Linked DNA regions of Danio rerio. The protein of the gene in region 2 interacts with the protein of the main gene of each other region in a biochemical or structural test. Links are inferred from orthologs where the notes say so. Each region holds a gene or a part of one and is shown on either strand. Other genes may lie near its edges.

Region 1 (10,522 bases), on a different chromosome or scaffold from region 2:
ACCTCCAACTTGCTTCAACACACTTACCAGGAAGTTTCTAGCATATCTAGTAAGAGCTTGATTAGCTGGTACAGGTGTGTGTGATTAGGGTTGGAGCTAAACTCTCCTGGACACTGGCCCTCCAGGACCGAGTTTGGACACCTCAGCTAAAATAGAAAATTCTGCCATCTTTACCCGTCCTCCACTTGTTCGAGATTTTTCTGTTGGATATAAAGAAAAATATACTGAAGTATGTTGTGGAAAAAAGCCATTTATTTAATATTTTTTGTTACTATTATGGATGTTAGTGGCTGCTGTTTACGGCATTTTTTCAGAAAATTTTGCAACAAAAGAAAGTAATTAATAAAATATTAAAATCAATTGAGTATGAGTAAATGATGAGGTGATTTATCTCTTTTAATTAGTCAATACTGTTTTAAGAACAAACTTAACAAATATCTTACATAAACATTTGAACAATGCCTTAAGGTGGTATAACCATAGTGCCAGCCAAATTACTCTGGGCTGCTTAATTATTAGAAAAACGATCCACATGGAGGTCTGGAGAAAAACACGCAGGAAACATAAGAGAATGAATTTGGGTGTTCCTACTGGGCTATTAAAGTACAGTAACAGCTGTAATTCTAGCATGGCAATATTTACTGTGCTATGATCTATTAGCGACGTGCTGCGGTGTGGGAGGCCCGGTGCTCAAACAAAGCAGGCGACCAACACAAGCATTTTGACAGGGTCCCATCTCCTTAAATGGACATGAAGGGGACACAGGATTTGCCTGTTTCAGACAGCTGCGCCCACCAGCAGACCCCCTCTTGGAGCGTGGCAACTGTTGGGCCCAAATGCTTTTTAAACATTCATTACTTTGGGAACAATAGTTTGTTGATCAACCTGTTTGTGACACGAGCCTGCACGGCCTTATTCAAGAGACTGATGGGGATCATATTCTGAGCTGATGGCGGCTGCAGAGTTTGCATGGCATTTCATCAAGCAGATTCATCATATGAAACATACAATGTAAGGTTGTATTGATTTGAGTATCAGGCTTTCTCTAGAAGAAAAAATATTATCAGACATACTGAGAAAATTTCCTTGCTCAGTTAAACATCATTTGGGAGATATATATTACATATATACTCACCAGCCACTTTATTAGGTACACCTTACTAGTACCAGGTTGGACCCCCTTTTGCCTTAATCCTTCGTGGCACAGATTCAACAAAGTTCTGGAAATATTCCTCAGAAATTTTGGTCCATATTGACTTGATAGCATCATGCAGTTGCTGTAGATTTGTCTGCTGCACATCCATGATGTGAATCTCCCGTTCCACTATCTCAAAAGTGCTCTATTGGATTGAGGATCTGATGACTGTGGAGGCCATTTGAGTGCAGGGAACTCATTGTCATGTTCGAGTAACCAGTCTGACATGATTCGCGCTTTATGACATGGTGCGTTATTCTGCTGGAAGTAGCCATCAGAAGATGGGGTAAACTGTGGTCATATAGGAATGGACATGATCAGCAGCAATACTCAGGTATGCTGTGGTACTGACGCGATGCTCTATTGGTACTAATGGGCCCAAAGTGTGCCAAGAAAATATCCCACACACATTACACCACCACCAGCAGCCTGAACAGTTGATACAAGGCAGGATGGATCCATGCTTTCATGTTGACAACAAATTTTGACCCTACCATCCGAATGTTTCAGCAAAAATCGGGACTCATCAGACCAGGCAATGTTTTCTAATCTTCTATCGTCCAATTGTGGTGAGCCTATGTAAATTGTAGCCTCAGTTTCCTGTTCTTAGCTGACAGGAGTGGCACCTGGTGTGGTCTTCTGCTGCTGTAGCCCATCTGCCTCAAGGTTCACTGTGTTGTGTGTTCAGAGATGCTCTTTTGCATATTTCTGTTGTAACGAGTGGTTATTTGAGTTACTGTTGCCTTTCTATCAGCTCAAACCAGTCTGGCCATTCTCTGACCTCTGGCATCAGCAAGGCATCTGTGCCCACATACTGTAACTGCCGCTCACTGGATTTTTTTTTTTTCTGACCATTTTCTGTAAATCCTAGAATTGTATGTGCTGGAAAATCCCCGTAGATCAGCAGTTTCTGAAATGCTCAGACCAGCCTGTCTGGCACAAATAGCCATGCCATGTTTAAAGTCACTTAAATCACCTTTCTATTTATTCTTCCCCATTCTGATGCTCGGTTTGAATTGCAGCAGATTGTCTTGACCATGTCTACATGCCTAAATGCATTGAGTTGCTGCCATGTGATTGGCTTATTAGAAATTTACGTTCATGAGCGGTTGGACAGGTGTACCTAATAAAGTGGCCATGATATTATATATATATATATATATATATATATATATATATATATACACTGTATGTGTGTGGAAGACTAAAAACATACACTGACTGCTAAAGATGTCAGTTAAAAAAGAGTTGTAGAGATCAGTCTCCCAAATTCCCATACAGTACAAAAAAAACTAAATTATAGTTTAAATATTATATTTTTAGCATATATCGTTCTCTATTCCATTAAACAATGGACATAAGGCTTATAATACCTGTTGTTGTAGCACTGTGCTGTTTAGTTATATAATGGCTGCTAACAAGATCTACTGTGTGTGGATGGGTCAACTAAAGCAGCTGTTGTCAGAATGGACCGCTGACAGGCACGCTAATGAGAAAAACCTGGAGAAATGATCCTCGCAGTAATCTACATGTCCAAGAGTCAATCGCTGCTCTTATTCTGATATACTCTCACTTTAACAGTAAGATTCAGACCTTCATGACCATCCATCACCGTTTTCACAGCAGCTCAAATCAACTGACAACTCAATGGCAGTTGTGCCCAAACTCTAAAATAGAAACGTACAGCAATGAAAGATGTAACATGTGTTCGAGTACATGCAATAAGCAGAAGTTTGTGGATTGTAGAGCCGTATTAAAAGGTCAAAAGACTTCTTTCTTAAGTTGATGTGCATGTTGTCCCATGAACAAATAGTATCAAAACGTCCCGAGAGCACTTACAAGAGAGCGACTGCTCAACAGCTCATGCCAGGAGTGCCCTAGATAATGGCTACTATAAATATATTGAGTGCTTTAGAAGTTTCCATGTGAGCATTGATGTTCATTACAGATGAGCATAAAGAAAACCATCATAGTGCATTTAACTGTTAGGCTTCAATTAAAGTGACAGCTCACAGTAAAATGAAAATTCTCCTTTTGATCAAACTTGTGTTCAAAAGGAAGCAATCGTTGAACTGAATGTTGGTGGGGGGAAAAAGATAATAATTTAAAAACCATTGACTTAGTTTTTTGTTCCTATGGTTGTCTGTAGCAGGCTTTTTCACCATTCACCACAGTATATTTTTGTGTTCAACAAGAAAGCAATTCTTAAGTTTGGAACCACTTGATCACAGGTGTAAACCTTAAGTAAAGGTTCATTTTCTGGTGAACAGTTCTTTTACTAAGCTTGAATCATTTAATGGCAGTTCCTAATATACACATCACTATTTATTGGCTTCTTATAGCAAAGCTAGTTATGAAATGTAAAATTCTGAAAGCCAGGGTAACGATTTTTCTCTTTATTGATTTAAAAAAAAAAAAAAAAAAAAAATTTGATGGACAGTGTGGCAATGTCTCGAACCCTGTTCTGGTTTGGGAAGATGCTGTAAAGTTACCTACACCAAAGTATAACCATCAAATTAGCAGTGGTTTACTTTGTGTTAAATGTGACCAAAAGTCAACCATGTTATGCAGGAAAGTTTATTAAATAACTAACTGCATACTCTTACCCAATATTGGAGCATCTATTTTATCCATTCATGTTTCTATATTTGTACCTTAATTTATGAGTCGATCCCATACTTTATATGGAAGTGAGAAATATTATCTATACTGCCAATATAAGTAAATGGCCAGAGTAACTTAAATGAATTACTAACAGAAAATCACTAGGATTAGTCTTAGCCTTATTAGTCTGCTCTGGGGCAAGCTAGCTACTAAATGCAGTATAAATCTCCATAACTCATTTTACCTCATTTACACGAAATAGAGTCTGGGCTAAATTGAGCCACCATATCTTGAAAAACCTAACTTGATACTTCGAGCAATACCTCATCCAAAAAGTTGAAATTCAAATTTTTTTTTTTATTATGTAAAACAAAAATAAAAAGCTTATTTAATACTAATCTCGCTAAAACAAAGTTAAACAAAAACATGTAAACTATACAGCAAAAGTCCCAGAAGTCCATAGTTTTGTGTTAAGTGTCCGTTGAAGCACTCAGATTGAGTCTTTAAAAATCAGCATCCAGAGTGAAAGTGTTATCTGTAGTTCCCGACATGACTCCCATGCGCTGGTACTCGCCCACTCGCTTCTCGAAGAAGTTGGTCTTGCCCTCCAACGAAATGTTCTCCATGAAGTCAAAAGGATTCTCCACTCTATAGACCTAGAAAGGCAATTTGGAAGGTTAGTGACGCTTAAAGTGCCACCTGTTGAACTGAAAGTACAAAACGGGTTTGACATGTGACAGACCTCAGATCATTAGACATTACAAGGACTACACTGCCACCATGAGCAGACTCAAGACTAATGAAATAAACCTACCTTGTCAAATCCCAGCTCCAGCAACAGTCGGTCAGCCACAAACTCAATGTACTGCTTCATCAGGTCACAGTTCATGCCAATGAGCTTCACGGGAAGAGCATCAGTCAGGAACTCCTAGGAAGATAAACAAGTCAGATTTGTGGTTTACAAAAATTATTAAAACTATATGCCCTGTATTGTTTTTACTTTAGGATGCAATTACAAGTAGAAGACACTAAAATGCAAGTACATACCCTGTCAGGTCTTGTCTACCCATTCAATTGAAAATACTTTGACTTGATTATTAAAAAAAAAAAAAGACAATTTATTCATTTTTATTTGGTTTAGTCCCTTATTTATAAGGGGTCAAAAAAAAAAAAAAAAAAAAAAAAAAAGACTGATACATAGGCCCTCCTTTCCAATAAATAAGTGGTCAAAGCACACATAAAACTGTATAAAGTGGGAATATCTATCATATGATCGACCACACTACATCTCAATACTATACAGCACTCTGGAATAGTTGATTCTGAAAAGCCAAAGACATTGCAACGCATGTTAGTTCTAATTAATAGGTTCATGCGTGTTCGGTCAGAGTTGGAGCTGAACTTTGTAGGAAGCTAGACCTCCAGGTACAGCGTTGAGCACCAGTGATCTTGACCATTAGTCAATTTTCAGTTCTTTCTTGCCCCTTTTTTAGACTGTTTGCCACCATCTTGTGGCTGAGTAAGTTACTGTAGGCTGCAATTGTAGTTAAGTTGTCAAGCAAGAAAGTACATTATGGCAGGTGTTTAGCGGAATAAAAGTTCTGTCTTCTAAACCACAAGCTTTATCATTCAAGCGAAATCTGGCTTTACTTTACTCTAGCACTCAAATGCAAGAGAAGAAAAAAAAAAAGTAAGTTTATTAATCCATTGTTAACATGCAGCTCTTCAACTAAAGAAAATTCAAATCTGGAACTGCAGGTTGTGTTCAGTCATGTTTGTTTGTTACATTCAATAAAGTTAAATTACTACATCTAATAGTTCAGTTCTGTGACAAGCAGCCAGATTACATACATCAGGGCAGTTTATTCTGTAAAAACAACTGCCCTGTAGTCATGCTGATGAAACCTATCTAGCTTTATTCAGCAAGAACTTTAATGAACATTGCCCTTTGTGTAAACCTGAAAATGAACACTGGCCTGACTGAAAGCACTTGTTATGAAGGCTCACAAACCTGCTCAATTTCAACTGCATTCATGATGATTTTCTTCACGGTTTCTTCTGATGGTTTGTTGATCAAGTGTTTAAACATGAGGCAGGCGAAGTCGCAATGAAGACCCTGCAAGAATAAGAAACATTAGTACCACATTCTACAATAGGTGCATACTAGGGTTAAGGTAGACAAAAGGGTTACCTCATCTCTGCTGATCAGCTCATTGGAGAAGGTGAGTCCAGGCATGAGTCCCCTCTTCTTTAGCCAGAAAATAGAAGCAAAAGACCCAGAGAAGAAGATTCCCTCCACTGCAGCAAAGGCCACCACTCTCTCACCTGTAACCAGTGCAAGACTTAAATTAGCGGTCACTTAATAATAAACTTCCTTTAATACTTTATTATAATTATTTTTCTTTTTTTTCCCCTTTTTAATAAAGTATGTTTATAACATACCATATCGTGCATTTTTATCACCAATCCAGTTGAGTGCCCAGTCAGCCTTCTTCTTTACACATGGCATTGTCTCAATGGCATTGAACAAAAATTCCCTACAGAAAACAATTTCATTAGTCAGATAAATGACTAGGTACCATTTACAAGAGCATTTTTAGGGAGCTCAGTCAAGGCGATAATTTCGTGCTGACACCCTACAACCAGCTGACCACATGTCCACTGATTTTGAGCAGTCAACACTCAGCTCCCATTATCAGCTGAGGTACGTACCCCTGCGCCACTCATCATTGCTCCCAATAACCTCAAAACGGGTCCAAACACTTACCTCTCTTTAGAATCTTTAATGTAGGTGTCAATCAACAGGCTGTACATTTCTGAGTGGATGTTTTCCATTGCTATCTGGAAGCCATAGAAGCAGCGGGCTTCAGTCACCTGGACCTCCTGAGTGAAACGCTCCACCTAGAGTCAGAAGACAAGTGGTAAGGACCAATTAACAAAATAAATAAATTAAAAAAAAGGGGGGGAGGGAAAAAATTAAATCCTGTAAAATCATAGGTATAAGTCAATTTCTGAAGGGGGCCACAGCGCTGCAGTTGTTTCAACCCTAACCAAACATCTGATGCAGCCAATTAAGGGTTCAAGATTCTTTTGAACAGATTATTTAGATCAGCTGTGTTTGATGAGGGCTAAAGCAAAACTGTGGCCCTTCAGAAATTGACTGACAGCCAGGCTGTAAATGTTTGCCTATGAGCTTACCAAGTTCTCATTGACAATGCCATCACTTGCAGCAAAGAAAGCCAGAACATGGGAGATGAAATATCTCTCCTCGTCTTTCAGGGAATCCCAGTGTTGCAGATCTTTGGACAGATCAACCTTAGAAAAAATAAAAACCCAAGTGTTCAAAACATTGCAACTATAAAAAGCATGCTAGCAAATAAAGGCTGAATGTTACATTAAACTATTAGCCAAGGGCAATATGCAAATTTTAAATGACATTTAAATTATATTCAGGGCCATTAGAACACACTGAAAAGGACAAGTTACTTAATAGCTTGAGAACAAGGAGGATTAATTATATCAAGTACATTTAAAGAGCACTAGTTGTGAAAAAAAATAACTTGTAAATTTGACTAATAAATGCATGTTAAATTCGTAAACTTGTCTCTTTGGTCATGTTTTGATAAATGGCTAGCACTTTTGCAGGAATATTAAATTGCTGATTTGGTACATGTTTATTAAAAACTTTGCTAAATTTATTAATTAGATACTCTAATTTAAATCAATTCTAATAAATTTCTCATTCATATTTATGCTAATTTTCAGGATCTTTGACAAAACCAGATTGACCGGTGCACCTAGTAAGGACAGCATATTAAATGGAGGCATTTCTAGGTGTTAAGGTGTTATGTTTTAAAGTTCACCTCCTCAGCTGTCCAGAAAGAGGCCTCTGCCTTCTTGTACATCTGCCAGATGTCATGATACTGAATTGGGAAAATGACAAAGCGATGGGGGTTCTCCTTCAGAAGAGGCTCCTCCTCCACTGCTCCTTTCTTTGCTTTCGACTGCCCCTGCAATTAAAACATGTTTGATGTAACAAACTAACATGAGTTAGGGCTTATGGTGCATGTAACTAGGATAAAAACAATCTTTAGCAATAAGCTCATTTCTGTTTGGGCTATTAACCATTTTATTCAAGACTTGCAATTCTTGACCATTTTGTAAAAAATAATAATAGCAAGTTATTCAATGGTATATAAAAAATATACTAAAAACTAAGCTACTAACTAAGCTAGCATTTGACAATGTTCGTTAAAGTCTGGTTAGCTTTGGTTCTCATTTCCCAAAAAAAAAAAAAAAAAAAAAAAAAAGTCTTAGATAATGGAAAGTTGTTGCTTGTATGAACGAGAAGACTCAGCTGTATTAAAGTATCAAACATTTTATATACACCATTTGGGTTTCCACTTCTTGTAACTTGGAATATTAGCACGATTTCCTTCGTTTACCAGAAAACAAATAAATAATAATAGTAATAAGACCATCTTGTTTGCTTTTGGTGCATTGATCATTCCCAGTAATACTACTTCCGGTCTATATTTTTTCGGCAAAACAAGAGCTTTTCTGATTGACCAGACCAAGTTGTGCAAATATAAGAAAACCATCTAAATATTGATCGAATTGTACAGAAAAGGAGTATTCGCACTTTAAAGTGCATGTTTAGCATACACTCTGCGTCGTTTATGCAACATTACATCAGCTCAAGCTAATCGCCCGCCAAACTCATGCATTGTTTTATTAACTAGCATAAAACACAAAAATCACCCTAGTTTTAAGTAATCGTTTTTAATTCCGTTCAGCTGGACTAGTTTAATGAGCCATTGTTCTTCCAAAAAGACCCGGATAAGTTTGATGTTACCTGCCCAACTTAGCGCGCTCAGAATCCGCCAAATTTTATCTACAACTTAAAGACATCGCTCCAGAAGTCGATAAACATTTAATACCACATCAGATAAACATGCATAATATTAGCTCATTCTGAAGACACGTGCAGAGACGAAGTAAAAGTGGACTGACCTCTGATTCATCAAAGATTTTGCGCGCCGTTTTGGACGCCAGGATTCTGGTGGAGCTCAAACTGGGTGGCTGAGGACAAAACAAATCACATTTTACAACACAACACAACTACCTAGTAGCTGTATTTAAAGTAATATTCGTATTTTATGTTATATGCGCGTATAGAGCTACTCTTGAGAGCCTAAAAATGTAACTTACGGGTCGCATGACTACGCAGTAGTTACAATAATTGCGGTTCGTTAAAAGTAAAGTCAAAGAAACAAACTTACCGTGTTTTCTTTGTCCACAAAGGACATGTTATTCATTTTAGTAGAGATTGTGTTTTCATTCTTGGTTTTCAGGGGAGAGCGAGTGGACGACATTGTAAAGCTTGGAGTGTTTGGTAAAACAAAACGAGGATAAGTTAAAGGTTAAAAATAAAGACAACTTCTAAAACAAAGTTAACTAGAAATAAATAAAAGCAAAACTAAGAGCTAGCAGGTCTACGGTCCAGCTGAAGCGAAGATAACACTAAGTATGAATGCCGGATACGCTTTTTATATTCGATTCTTGGCGCTTATTCTCAGCCAATGGGGAAAGAGCAAACTCCCCGGCTTTGTTTGGTCCTTTTAACTCGTTCATCAGATGAACCAATCAGATTTCTCCACCGCGTCACGTAAGAGCTGCACCTCGCGGGAAATTCAAACATATTGGGGGTTGCAAAGTATTACAAAACCATACAAACAGGTTTAAAAGGGCGCGAATATGAAATAAAACTATACATTTGTGAAATCTTAATGTTTTTATTTTTATGTTCGATATACTTTAATAAATGTGTATAATTTTACTCCACACTCAAGTAAACGGTTTATATACCGTAGATGTCTTTTCTGTTACCGTAGATGTCCTTTACACTGATGTGCTTGCATCTGTTATTATTTCAAAGCAAAATTACTGAATTAGAAGTAAATAAAGCATGTAACGTTAACTATCAGTGAATTTATTCAAGTCACAAAGACTGCAGCTGTCGATCACATACAAATGACACAATAAACGAAGCACAATAAACGTTTTTAAGATAATTATATCTTGTATAATAAAAACAATCGACTGTTGTTTGGGGAAATACATTTCTCCGTACCTCTTTTATAACGTGGCAGACATAAACCCATTTGCAACAACAAAACCCGCCTGACAGGAAGATGCGGTTTCGCGCCAGATTTGAGTAAACATTTTCGAAATACACAACATCAAGTCATACTCTAACCTAAAATACTTTAGAAAGCTTCAATATTCACGTTCAATAATGAACATGAAACTGCACGTGTGATCTTTTGTGATTATACCTTCATCAAATCCTCCGTATGACAGAGGTAAATGTCTTGTTGTCGTTTCTCCTGTCCTTCAGCACGAAGATTAACGTATATTGGACATCAATAATATCACTAATACCACATCATTAATATAACATTTACTGTCATCAAAGAGGTGTCAGTATTTTATTGCCGATCAAACTTTACACCACAATAATCTCTCAGCTGTTTAGCCAGTTCTTCACCACAACTAAACCGTTAACACGAACTCCAACGGACTTTGTTGATTATTTTTAAACTCGACATATAAAAAAAACAACTCAAATTAAGCGGAAAACGTATTTTACAACTAGTCAACGAGTATAGATCCTTTGTTTTTCATAACAAAAACATTCCCAGGACGCGGGATAAGCACCAA
Region 2 (11,230 bases):
ATATTATTATGAATACTGTACCCCATATCTGCAAAATGTTCATTTGGTTGAGGTGTTTGTGATGTTTTGATAATAATAAAAGTAGTTTAAATTAACAAAGGCTTGTACGCTGTCTTTAAATGAGATTTGACATGCATAGTAATAATTATTAAATATCAACAGAGATTAATTAATCGTATGAATTTAATCATGATCATTTGCTCATATCAAAAAGCCTTACAGTGAAGCAAATTTAAAATCAGAGAACACTCACTCCTGCAATGTAGCTGCCAGTGGCTCTAATGCAGCTCACTGCCACCCCGATGCCACCGGCAGACTTGGAGATGAGCGCACACTGCTTCAGGGTGTCATAGATGCCCTCAATGCTGTCATCTTTCATAGCAAGCAGGAAGCAACTACACATTTAAAAAAAAGAAGCACTGGTTTGTATTACATCAATTAAACATTAATTTAGAAATTCTGCCCTCTTGTGTCTAATTGCAGCGTTACTGTTCTTAGTGTTTACCTGGAGAGCTGAGGCCGGTTGGTGCCCGCATTAAACAGAGTAGGAGAAGCATGAGTGAACCACTTCTCAGACAGCAGGTTGTAGGTTTCGATAGCAGCCGCAATGTCTTCCTTATGAATGCCTACGGACACCCTCATCAGCATGTGCTGCGGCCGCTCGGCAACTGAAAACAAAAAGCACTCAAGGTATAAGAATCTTTGCTTCAGTTGTTCAGGTTAGTCTTTTTTGTTCATCTCATTTGCATTTCTCTCACTGGAAATGAAAGCAAACTTTGGTCTGTTCTTTAGATCGTCGTCACTCTTTTCCTGCCCTCCTTGTTTACTCGTTTCACAATTTGACTGTTTTGCATAGATGTAATATAAGTGTTATGCGTCTCCAGAATGTGGCTGAAGTTTCTGCTTAAAATACCTCATGGACATTATTATACCCTGATGTAAATGTGCCTTTTTTGAGTGATGCTTGATGCTGCTGTCGCTTTAAATTGCAAATAAGCTCCGTGCCTTGGGTACAATATTGTGTCATCATGATATTTAGTTACAGAACAGTTACTGGTACAGACGTACCAATTGCAATTTTCTTGGCTGATTTAGATTTACAATTTTTAATTAGTTTGCAACAATTTGCTCGTGCAGTAGTTCGCTTTCATTCACAACCTGCATTTGCAGAACAAGCCGAAAGCCTTAACTCATCTGTAATGGACTGTGCAATAACATGACGTGATTTTGTTGTAGTCAAGTGTCCATGCATCCCATTAATGCCACCCTATCTGCATTGATTTACACACTGAAAGAGTGCGCTAACAACTTGGTGCGGCAGATATTTGAACAACATCCTGAATCCAGCCAAACACGACATTCTAGAAATCATATATGTGCCCTACAAATACAATCTGGATATACCTAGGCATAGTCGAATAATGATAGTTCAGTATAGAAATGAGCATACGGTGAGCCTCACTATGGTTTCCTCGTTCTAATGTAAATACAGCAAATGTAAAACCCCGATAATCGCAAGTCAATCAGAACAATGGACTCTTGTATGACTCACTGGCCACTCCCTATCATTTGCATGTACTTTAGGTCAGGTTCTACATTAGCCGGAACGGCATTAGCATTCATGCAAAAACACAGACTTATATCACTTAAAGTAATTGATATACATGCCTCAGGCTGTTTAAGAAGCCACAACATTTCCTAGTGAGAATTACCATTTTCCTCCCAGTTAATTTTATGTTTATATTATCTTACCATTTATGCGGGACTTTTTTTTTTTTTTGAAAATGGGAGATGCTGTATTTATTTTGCATTACCAAGCAACAACTCTAAAAAGCCATCTGTTTACATGCACAAAATGCAGATTACACATTTATTCAACCCCACTTCAAAGTGTCATAAGGCATGTTTTGGTAATAAGGCATCTTTTGGTAATTTAGGTAATTACCATTTTATTGTAAAATGTGCTGTGTTTATTTCAACAAACACATGTGGACTTCTGAATTGTGTTGTTTGGCAGCATATGAACGCATACCCGTCAATGCTTATTTCTTTGCTTTTAACTCACACAGGCCGGCATATCTAATTTAAACTGAGAACTGATTCAGAATCATTAGGGAAATTTTTTTTAAAAATCACGATGTGTCAATTTTTTGTTTCTCATCCCTATTCTTCTGGTGACATGTAGACATCTTGTTTAAAGCTGCACATCAGGATTTGGAAATAGTTATGAGATGTAGCTAAAGCCTGATAAATAATTCTGTGATTAGTGCACATGGATGAGCCAGCACATCATTTGCAGTTGCCAACCCTGACACACACACACCTCTCAATTTTTTTAACTATGTCACCATGCATATTGAAAGCTTTGTGATTGGTCAACTTGATAGGTGTTTTTTTTGTGTTTTTTTTTTTATTTCTGAGGTTTTATTGCCAGAGCAACACAGCGCAGAAAAATAGACGCATGCGCCGTGAGTTTTGGTGATCATTCAATGCAGAAGTATAAATCAACCTTAAGGATACACTGGACCTACTGCAAATATTCAGTGTAGAAGTATAAAGTTGCTTTGATTAAGAGAATTGATTCGCAGAACTGCATGTCTAAATTTCCTAAGACCCATTAATGACTTACCCTTTCCATTGATCTTCAGCAGATATGAGCGCTCCAATGTCTAAAAGAAAGGTTAAAACTGAGATTAGCATCGCTTATGAATTCAAACTAGCAATTTCTCTTATTTTAGAATTACCTTGAAGCCAAAGAAGTTGTAAGAGAAATCCCTGTCATAAATGATGGCTGAGTTCAGGCGCTAGAATAAAGAAAAATAATGTTAATTCTACATTAGATTTTAAAAAATAATAAATAAACAAATCACTTTGTGGCTGGTGTAAATGTGCATATTTACATCTTTGTTGGCCAAAACAATATCAAGCGTCTCCTTGGAGATCATAGGCGAGTGGCGGCTGTTCAGGGGATTGACGTAGTTGTAGAGATCCTCCATAACCTCTGTTGATGGAAGAAGGCAAGTTTTTATAAACACTGTAATTCAACTGAAGTTAAATCATTGAAGTTAAATCAATGGTTGTCGCAACTCACCACTGAAAACCTTTTTAGTCTCTTTATGCAGGTTAGACACGGCGATGCGGGCTGCTAGGATGGCATAGTCAGGGTGTTTGGTGGTGAGGGTGGCAGCGATCTCAGCAGCCAGTGTGTCCAGCTCTACTGTAGTAACGCCGCTGTAAAGGCCCTGAATCACCTTCATGGTGATCTGAGTCTGCAGAGCAAAATCATGCGTGTTGCAACCATTTAGGTTTAGATCTTCTCATTTGGTTTCTTAGAAAATTTTACCTCCAGTATAATACAGGACTAAAAGAAGACTGGATGTTGTGCGAGTTTTTAATATTATGTTTTGGATACATGAGAACTTTGTAAGGCTAATGATCTTCTTGGCACAAATATTACTAGGGTGTCCACTCTTAAACATTCTGTAAAGTGCTTTGAAATGTGCGTTGTTGTTGATGTAATTTAAACTGAAACATGAAGACAGGGCAGGACATAAAACGGCTCCTCACCCCCCCAAAAACAGCAATCGAGTTAAGTTTATCATTGCCCTGCCAGTGAGAGTGGTTGAGCTCAAGCACAGATGGCAATTATGTCTTAAAGGTGACAGGACATGTCAGATACTAGAGAGCATTTGATTGGGCAGAAGATTTAATGAGAAACTGAAGCACAAGGTGACATGAAAAAAATAAATAAATCACTGATCCATTTTGGGGAAAGTGCAATTTATTTTTGGCCTTGGGGCCTTTGGTCAAAGTGGGCTCACTAGGGCTTGAGGAGTGGTCATTAACAAAAACAGCATTTACCTAACTCAGGAGAGTTACGCATGCTGCCCATTAATCATGCCTGAAATAACTCCTGATCATGTGATAAGGATTCTGATCAATATCTGGGTCTGTTTTTACGTGATGCTAAAAGCTAATTATATATATTTTTTTTTTTTTGAGGGACACTACACCTGCAAAAATTACAACAACAAATTGATGTCAATTTATGTATTAAACTATTGGTCATATGTAGAATCTGGAGTTTAAAAGGTAAATACAAACTGCTCACTTTAGTTTAATTGTTGTGATTAACCAATTTTCATTCAATTTCCCTTTGTCTAGTAAAGTTGTGTTGAGCGGTTCTGTGGTGGTGTGTTAAAAGCAGGTTTTAATGCTGCTAATCTATTTTTGCCTTAACAATTTTAATAGCATTTGCTTGCAGACTTTCATATGCAAACTGACATTGCATGTCTCGGAAATGCAATAAATGTCAAGACACAATGCACTCAATGGAGCTAGTGACGTCACTGTGAGGGGTGGGGTTAGGGGAGGAGTTCTCCACTCATTGAGGTCTGAAGCTGTTGATTTGACCCGGTCTGTTGTCAATACTGGCCCAACAGAGGAAAAGAAGCGAGAGTACTCACATGAGCTTTCAAACTAGGGTCAGTTTTTAGAAAAACTGGATTTTCTTAAATCATTAAATAAAAAAAGTAAATAAATAATTGCACTAGACGTAGGTTGAAATTTAAGATGTCTTGATGGACATTTCACAACTTACTGGATCAACAAAGTCAGAGTTGAGTCCATAGCAAAGTTTCTGGATGCGTGATGTGATTTTGTCAAACATTACACGCTCCTGGCGCCCATCTGTGAAAAAAAATATAGTCATAAAACAAATTATTTAAAGATAACCATATAAATGTAATAACAGTACAAATCTATAACCAATGATACATGAACAGGATATGAAACGCAAATAATATGAAAGGTCCATAAAATGTGCTGTTCGCGAGTATAGCATTGCACATTTTAGCTAGCATAGTCTATTAAATCACAATATACTTAATATTCGATATTCAAGCCAAATACTGTCAAATAAAATTTGACCTACTTTAACGAAGCGATTCGCGCCAACTTTGAGTTAACAAAGGGAACAGCTAACGTTACGTGAACATCGGCTGCTGCCAAGATGGACGCAATTATGTTATTCTCAAATATTAAATTATGCAGTTACAAAAATGAACCCAATAACAGTCAATCAATAAATATGTGTGGTGTTCATCAATATTTTAAACAGACTAAACTGACTGACGTTCATCTCTTAACGGCAAAACATTTTGTAAATTATAACGTTAGCTCAACTAACGCTCACGATGTACAGACATAATACAGGTTAATAATGGTTACGATAAGAACATTTTATAAACCGCAATTACATTACATTTGTATATATTTCTCTAGTTCAGTAACGTTATTTTAAGGAAGAGTAAAAGTGTTACCTCTCTTGATCACGTGCATGATTGAGGTATCTGGTAAAGTTAGAAAGGCCAGCGAGAAGAAAAACTGTACACTTTTTAATAAAAATGATCAGGTTTATTTAGCGGACAAAGGGCTGCACTGCTGGCCGGCTTCTCAGCTGCTCCGTCAGACTGTTGTTATGAAATTCTTAGCGCGCTAAAAGCCGCCAGAATGGACTTCGTCATTTCCGTCAAACAAATCTCAGCTAATGGGCTCTCGCTCCTTCTTCTTCGTCCTCGTCGCTGTCAGTTTTACTAGACGGAAGAGGAAAGTAGTCGTTACATTTTTTTTTTGAGTATCAAAAAGAAATGACATATAATCAAACAGCTGAAAAGCTACTTACATGGTTGTAAAAGTACATGAATATGACAATGTACAGATACTCAAAATGGTCTAACACTGGTTAAATTAAGACATTTCCAAGAAGTGAAATATTTCTGCAAAGAAAAAAAATTATAGATAGCGACACATAGTGGCCAACCATTACAAAAGGCATCCGGGTTAAGCATGGCCCTCTGCTGGTATTTTTTTGTAACTTCATGCATGTAAATAACTACATAAAACCAAATCTGAGGTAAGTTTCAGAGATAATGAATTATTTTTTAAAGTTGCAATCAAAAGTTTAAGAAGTTGTGGAAAAGTACATAATTTTCTTTATATCTGGCATCTGCAATGTGTTTTTTTACTAGATGTTTTTGCAATTCTGTTCCACAGTCATTCATTCATTTTCCTTCAGCTTAGTCCCTTATTTATCAGAGGTCACCACAGCAGAATGAACTGCCAACTATTCTGGCATGTGTTCTACACAGCAGCCAGATGCAGGCCAGTACCGAGAAACATTCATACACTCTCTCATTCACACAAACACGCACACACACGCACACACACACACACACACACACACACACACACACACACACACACACACACACACACACACACACACACACACACACACACACACACACACACACACACACACACACACACACGCACACACACACACACACACACACACACACACACACACACACAATACAGCCAATTTAGCTTACCCAATTCATGTATAGCGCATGTGTTTGGACTGTGGGGCAAACCGGAGCACCTGGAGGAAACCTACACAAACACAGGGAGAACATGCAAACTCCACACAGAAATGCCAACTGACCCAGCCAGGACTCGAACCAGCGATCTTCTTGCTGTGAGACGACAGTGCTTACCACTGACCCACCGTGCCACCTTCTATTCCACAGTTTCCAACTTATGGGTAATAAAAACTACAAGCAAGTAAAGTGTGTTTAAGGGGCGGCATGGTGGCCCAGTGGGTAGCACTATCTCCTTACTGGTCGCTGGCTTGAGTCCCAGTTGGTCCAGGTGACATTTCTGCATGTTTTCCCTGTGTTTACGAGTTTCTACCACAAGACATGCATACTGGTGAACTGGACAAACTAAATTGGCTATATTGTATGAGTGTGTGTGAATGATAGATTGTATGTGATTGTATGTGTGGGGTTTATGAGTGCATAAAACATATGCCAGAGTAATTGATGATTCATTCTGCTGTGGTGACCCTTAATAAATTAGGGCCAAAGCTGGAGGACAGTGTGTGAGTGTGTTTTGTGTTTATCTACAATTTTGTAACATCTAATATTGGGGCGTCACGGTGGTGCAGTGGGTAGCACGATCACCTCACAGCAAGAAGGTCACTGGTCCGAGCCCCGGCTGGGTCAGTTGGCATTTCGTGTTCGGCTGGGTTTCCTCCGGGTGCTCCGGTTTCCCCCACAGTACAAAGACGTACGCTATATTGGCTAAATTGTGAGTAAATGACTGTGTGTGCGTGTTTCCCAGTGATGGGTTGCACCTGGAAGGGCACCCCCTGCATAAAACATATGTCGCATTAGTTGGCGGTTCATGGCGATCTCAGAATAATAAAGAGACTAAGCTTCGTCAAATGTTTTATAACAAATATTAACAAAAATGAGCAAACTATTGCAAACACAGCAGTCTTATCATGTTTGTTAAACATTTGTGTGCCACAGTTATTTGTATGGCTAAAAATGTCCTTTCCTTTGGCTTATTCCCTGCTTTATCAGGGGATGCCACAGCAGAATGAGCTGCCAATTGGCATATATTTTACTGATGGATTCCCTTCATACCACAACCAAGCACTGAGAGTAAAGATGCAACGATTAACAGATTTCACTATTAACCGCGATTTAATTCGTCACGATTAATTATTCGTAAAAGATTATCAACACTGTGTTTCTGCATGGAACAAAACTAGGGCAACTAAACAAAGTTAAGCCAATTGTGGGCTAGTTTAAAGTTCCAAGCGTGTACAACAAGGCTAATATGCACGCACACTGGATTAACTATGGCTGAGGCTATAACTAAGGGCTGTTCATATATTGCTTCTTTTGTGCGCGCAAGTTTATTAATTCCAATACAGGCGTGCGACTTGCACGCTCATATTAGGAGCAACACTCATGCAGCACAACACGCCGCGAGTGTACTGCAAGTCACGAAACAGATCAGCGTCATACTTTTTATGGAATATACACATTTCTACAGTAAAGAGATAAAGAAAAATACTAAACAAAAAAATACTAAACAATTGAGCAATATAGTTGATCAAAAGTGCCTTTTAGACAGAGGTTCAGCAGCCTTTGACCAAATTTGTTCTCTTTAAAAGGAAGATACTTAGCGAGTATGAAGCTTAAATTTACATTAGACAAACACAATTTTTATTATTTATTTAAATTTTAATTAAATTAATTTGTCAGTGTAAAATTGTTACGTATGTTTGTATGTAAAACGTATGTAAAAACAAAAATGTTTTTTCAGTTCCAAAGGTAAACGGGCTATTATTTGTTTTCTGTGCTGTGTTGATTGGTTACTGAGCAACAATAGACAACACTTTAAAAAATAAGAAGTTTTCATGTGATTTACTAAACTAGTCATGTTTTGAAATTAATGAATGCATAATAATTGCTATAACCGTGAAACTGTGATTATTCCACAGACTATAATCTTACAATTAAAATCTATAATCGTTGCATCCTTAACTGGGAGTACACTAACTTAGTAAAAAGTGAAAGGGAAAAAAGTGAAAGTCAAAGTTGTGGTCAAGTATGGCCACCCATACTCGGAAATTGTGCTCTGCATTTAACCTATTCAAGAGCACACACACAGAAGTGAACACCCACCCACACAAGCAGCAGGAAAACACCTTGGTCAAGGGACTCAACTCAGCACTGGGATAATGAGCATTGCAGTATTGAGGGGGGAGAGAGCGCTGGCTATTCGCTCCCACCACAGACAATCCCTCCAGGAGACTCCCAAGACTTGAACCTTTGACCTTCCGATCACAATTCTAACTCTCTAACCATCAGGCAATTAGTTTAACCATTCATTTATCCAAATCACTTTACCATAATATAAGCACTTGTTGTGGTTTTTGGTTTTCCTCTTAGTGAATCAAACTCAGTCTAGAGGTTATGAATATCAGAAGATGATACTTTACTGTCGACAACAAAGATGATTTTTTAGGAGACCCCCAGTAGCATCTCTGCCTGAAAATTCTGCCTCACTGATGTTCTGGCCTGCTTATATACTCTTTTGCAGCTGTTTTTCACATTGTTCTTGATTTGTCACACAAGATCCCACCTAGTTTTAACCCCTGACCCAAACCTGATAACCATATTTCTTATCCATCTATACTTAACTGTTTCCACATGTGTTGCTCTATTCTCATCCATTTCTTGTGACACCTTAGTTGTTTACTCAGGCTATCTTCCGCTCTCTTCTCATCCAGTTCTTGTGATCCTTAGTTCTTTACTCAGACCATCTCCCCTTTCTAACTCTACATAGTACCTTAATTCTTCTAATGGTATGTAAGTCTACAAGCAGATTATACACATACAATGTGAATCTATAGATTAACTTCACACTTTAAAGAGTATAAAATCCACTTCACACTCAGAGGAAACCCACACAGACACAGGGAGAACATGCAAACGCCTCACAGGAATGCCTCCTAGTCCAACCCAACTCGAATCAGCGACCTTCTTGCTGTGAGATGACTGTGCTAACCACTGAGTCACCGTGCCACCCATTGGCTAAGAATTCATAAGAAACAAAATGTTTTTAAGTATATTCTTACTCAGATTTTTAATTTAGGGAGAGCGCTGAACCTGCCTCAGGTGATAACAGGCCTTAGCTCCGGAAGGCCAGAGGAAGTGCAAGGCAGGTGACAAAGGTGATGACTGGACAAAAGCACAGGGAACCAGATATCCTGAACTCTCAGCTTACAGGTGAGAAACCAATCTGGCTGCCAGGCAAAGGGAACCAGCAGTCAGAGAAGACTCAGGTCAAGCAGCACTGGAGGGGAACAAAACACAACACAAGACTAAAACAAATGACAGCAGGCAGAGACATCAAATGAAAATGAGGAGAACAGTTATTAACTGAGGCCTGAAGCTAGTTTAGGTTTTTCCACAGGTAAGCTCACATTTAGTTTAAGCAAACTCTTGAGTTTTCCAGCTGAAGAAGGTGGGTTGGTTTTATAGGAAATGTAACTAACTCTACATGGCTACTAGCCAGCTCCTCAGCAGGTTTTATTCTTTGTTAGAAATCGCAAACACTGGATTAATCAACTCTGAGCAAAGAGACATAAATGATGAAAAACATAAGATATGGCCCCTGAATTACTCACTCTGAATTAAGTAAAAAGTATGAGCAACATTGTTATTGCTGCTAATCAATTTTACACTGGAATTATGAATTATTAATGTTAAAATATTGATGTCACACCTTTGCAGTGCCCTAGTTTGGACACTTGTTTGTTTTGTAGTTTCACTTAATTTCCCATAATCCTTTGTATCACTGATTGTGTTATGTTACAGCTGTTTTGTGTTTGTTAATTTAGTCCTGTCTTTATAAACCCTCTTGTTCTCTGTTTTAGTTGCCTTAGGATTTTGTTAGCTCCTCACGTTTGGTATGTTTGTCTGGTCATCTAGTTTTTGTATTTTGATAATTCTTGGATTCCTGTTTTGTGTTTGTTTTCGTTAGCACTCTTTAGCACTCCTACCCTGTTTTTGTATTTACTCGTTTTTGGATATGTCACAAATTGCAGAATGATCACAAAATGCAAAAATCCAGGTGCAGCAATTTATTATAACAAAGACTAAGATTTCCAAAAGACAAAGGTTTCCAAACTTGAACAGAACTAAAGCAGGATGCAAATCTAGTCCAAACAAGAGAACAGGCAAAAATCCAAAAACACACTCAGTAATACAAAGGATTATGGGAAATGAAGTGAAACTACAAAACAAACAAGTGCCCTCAAGTGTCCAAACTAGGGCACTGCAAAGGTGTGACAATGGAATATTAAAGGGGCAGCACAGTGGCACAGTGGGTAGCACCATCGCCTTGTTTTCCCCCCACCAGTCCAAACAGGGGCGGATTGGGACTAAAAATCAGCCCTGGCACTGTAGCCACACCAGCCCACATTACCACACCGACACAGCCCCAGCCACGGACATTTATTACTTTTATTGGTGTACAGATGGTGAAATAATATAAGCAGTACCATATGTAATAGATATTTAAACATTTAGTGTATGTGACTGGAACAAAAACAACCCATTTATGACAAATTTATACATGCAATCATTTCATTCATTCATTTTATTTTCGGCTTAGTCCCTTTACTAATCTGGGATCGCCACAGCGGAATGAACCACCAATATATCCAGCATATGTTTTACGCAGCAGATGCCCTCCAAGCTGCAACCCATCAATGGGAAACCCTTATACACACACATTCACATACATGCACTACAGACAATTAGGCCTACTCAATTCACCTATAGCACATGTGTTTGGACTT

What was found. The genes of interacting proteins can lie anywhere in the genome.
Region 1: the proteins of rrm1 (region 2) and rrm2l form a complex in vitro, tested with the Homo sapiens proteins (3 studies listed by BioGRID and IntAct). The link is inferred for Danio rerio from reciprocal best matches to the Homo sapiens genes RRM1 and RRM2.

Annotation. Positions count from the first base shown.
Region 1 is NC_133195.1:32,244,752-32,255,273, forward strand, and holds rrm2l (ribonucleoside-diphosphate reductase subunit M2), read right to left. Parts: upstream 9,355-10,522; 5' UTR 9,175-9,354; coding exon 9,082-9,174; intron 8,882-9,081; coding exon 8,813-8,881; intron 7,810-8,812; coding exon 7,663-7,809; intron 7,115-7,662; coding exon 6,998-7,114; intron 6,701-6,997; coding exon 6,567-6,700; intron 6,536-6,566; exon of another isoform or gene 6,400-6,535; intron 6,337-6,399; coding exon 6,242-6,336; intron 6,125-6,241; coding exon 5,991-6,124; intron 5,916-5,990; coding exon 5,811-5,915; intron 4,728-5,810; coding exon 4,614-4,727; intron 4,456-4,613; coding exon 4,303-4,455; 3' UTR 3,577-4,302; downstream 1-3,576. UniProt on the Homo sapiens protein: Provides the precursors necessary for DNA synthesis. Catalyzes the biosynthesis of deoxyribonucleotides from the corresponding ribonucleotides. Inhibits Wnt signaling.
Region 2 is NC_133196.1:33,450,947-33,462,176, forward strand, and holds the start of rrm1 (ribonucleoside-diphosphate reductase large subunit), read right to left. Parts: upstream 5,509-11,230; 5' UTR 5,341-5,508; coding exon 5,322-5,340; intron 4,690-5,321; coding exon 4,601-4,689; intron 3,270-4,600; coding exon 3,092-3,269; intron 3,002-3,091; coding exon 2,901-3,001; intron 2,805-2,900; coding exon 2,745-2,804; intron 2,670-2,744; coding exon 2,630-2,669; intron 669-2,629; coding exon 506-668; intron 396-505; coding exon 254-395; intron 1-253. UniProt on the Homo sapiens protein: Provides the precursors necessary for DNA synthesis. Catalyzes the biosynthesis of deoxyribonucleotides from the corresponding ribonucleotides.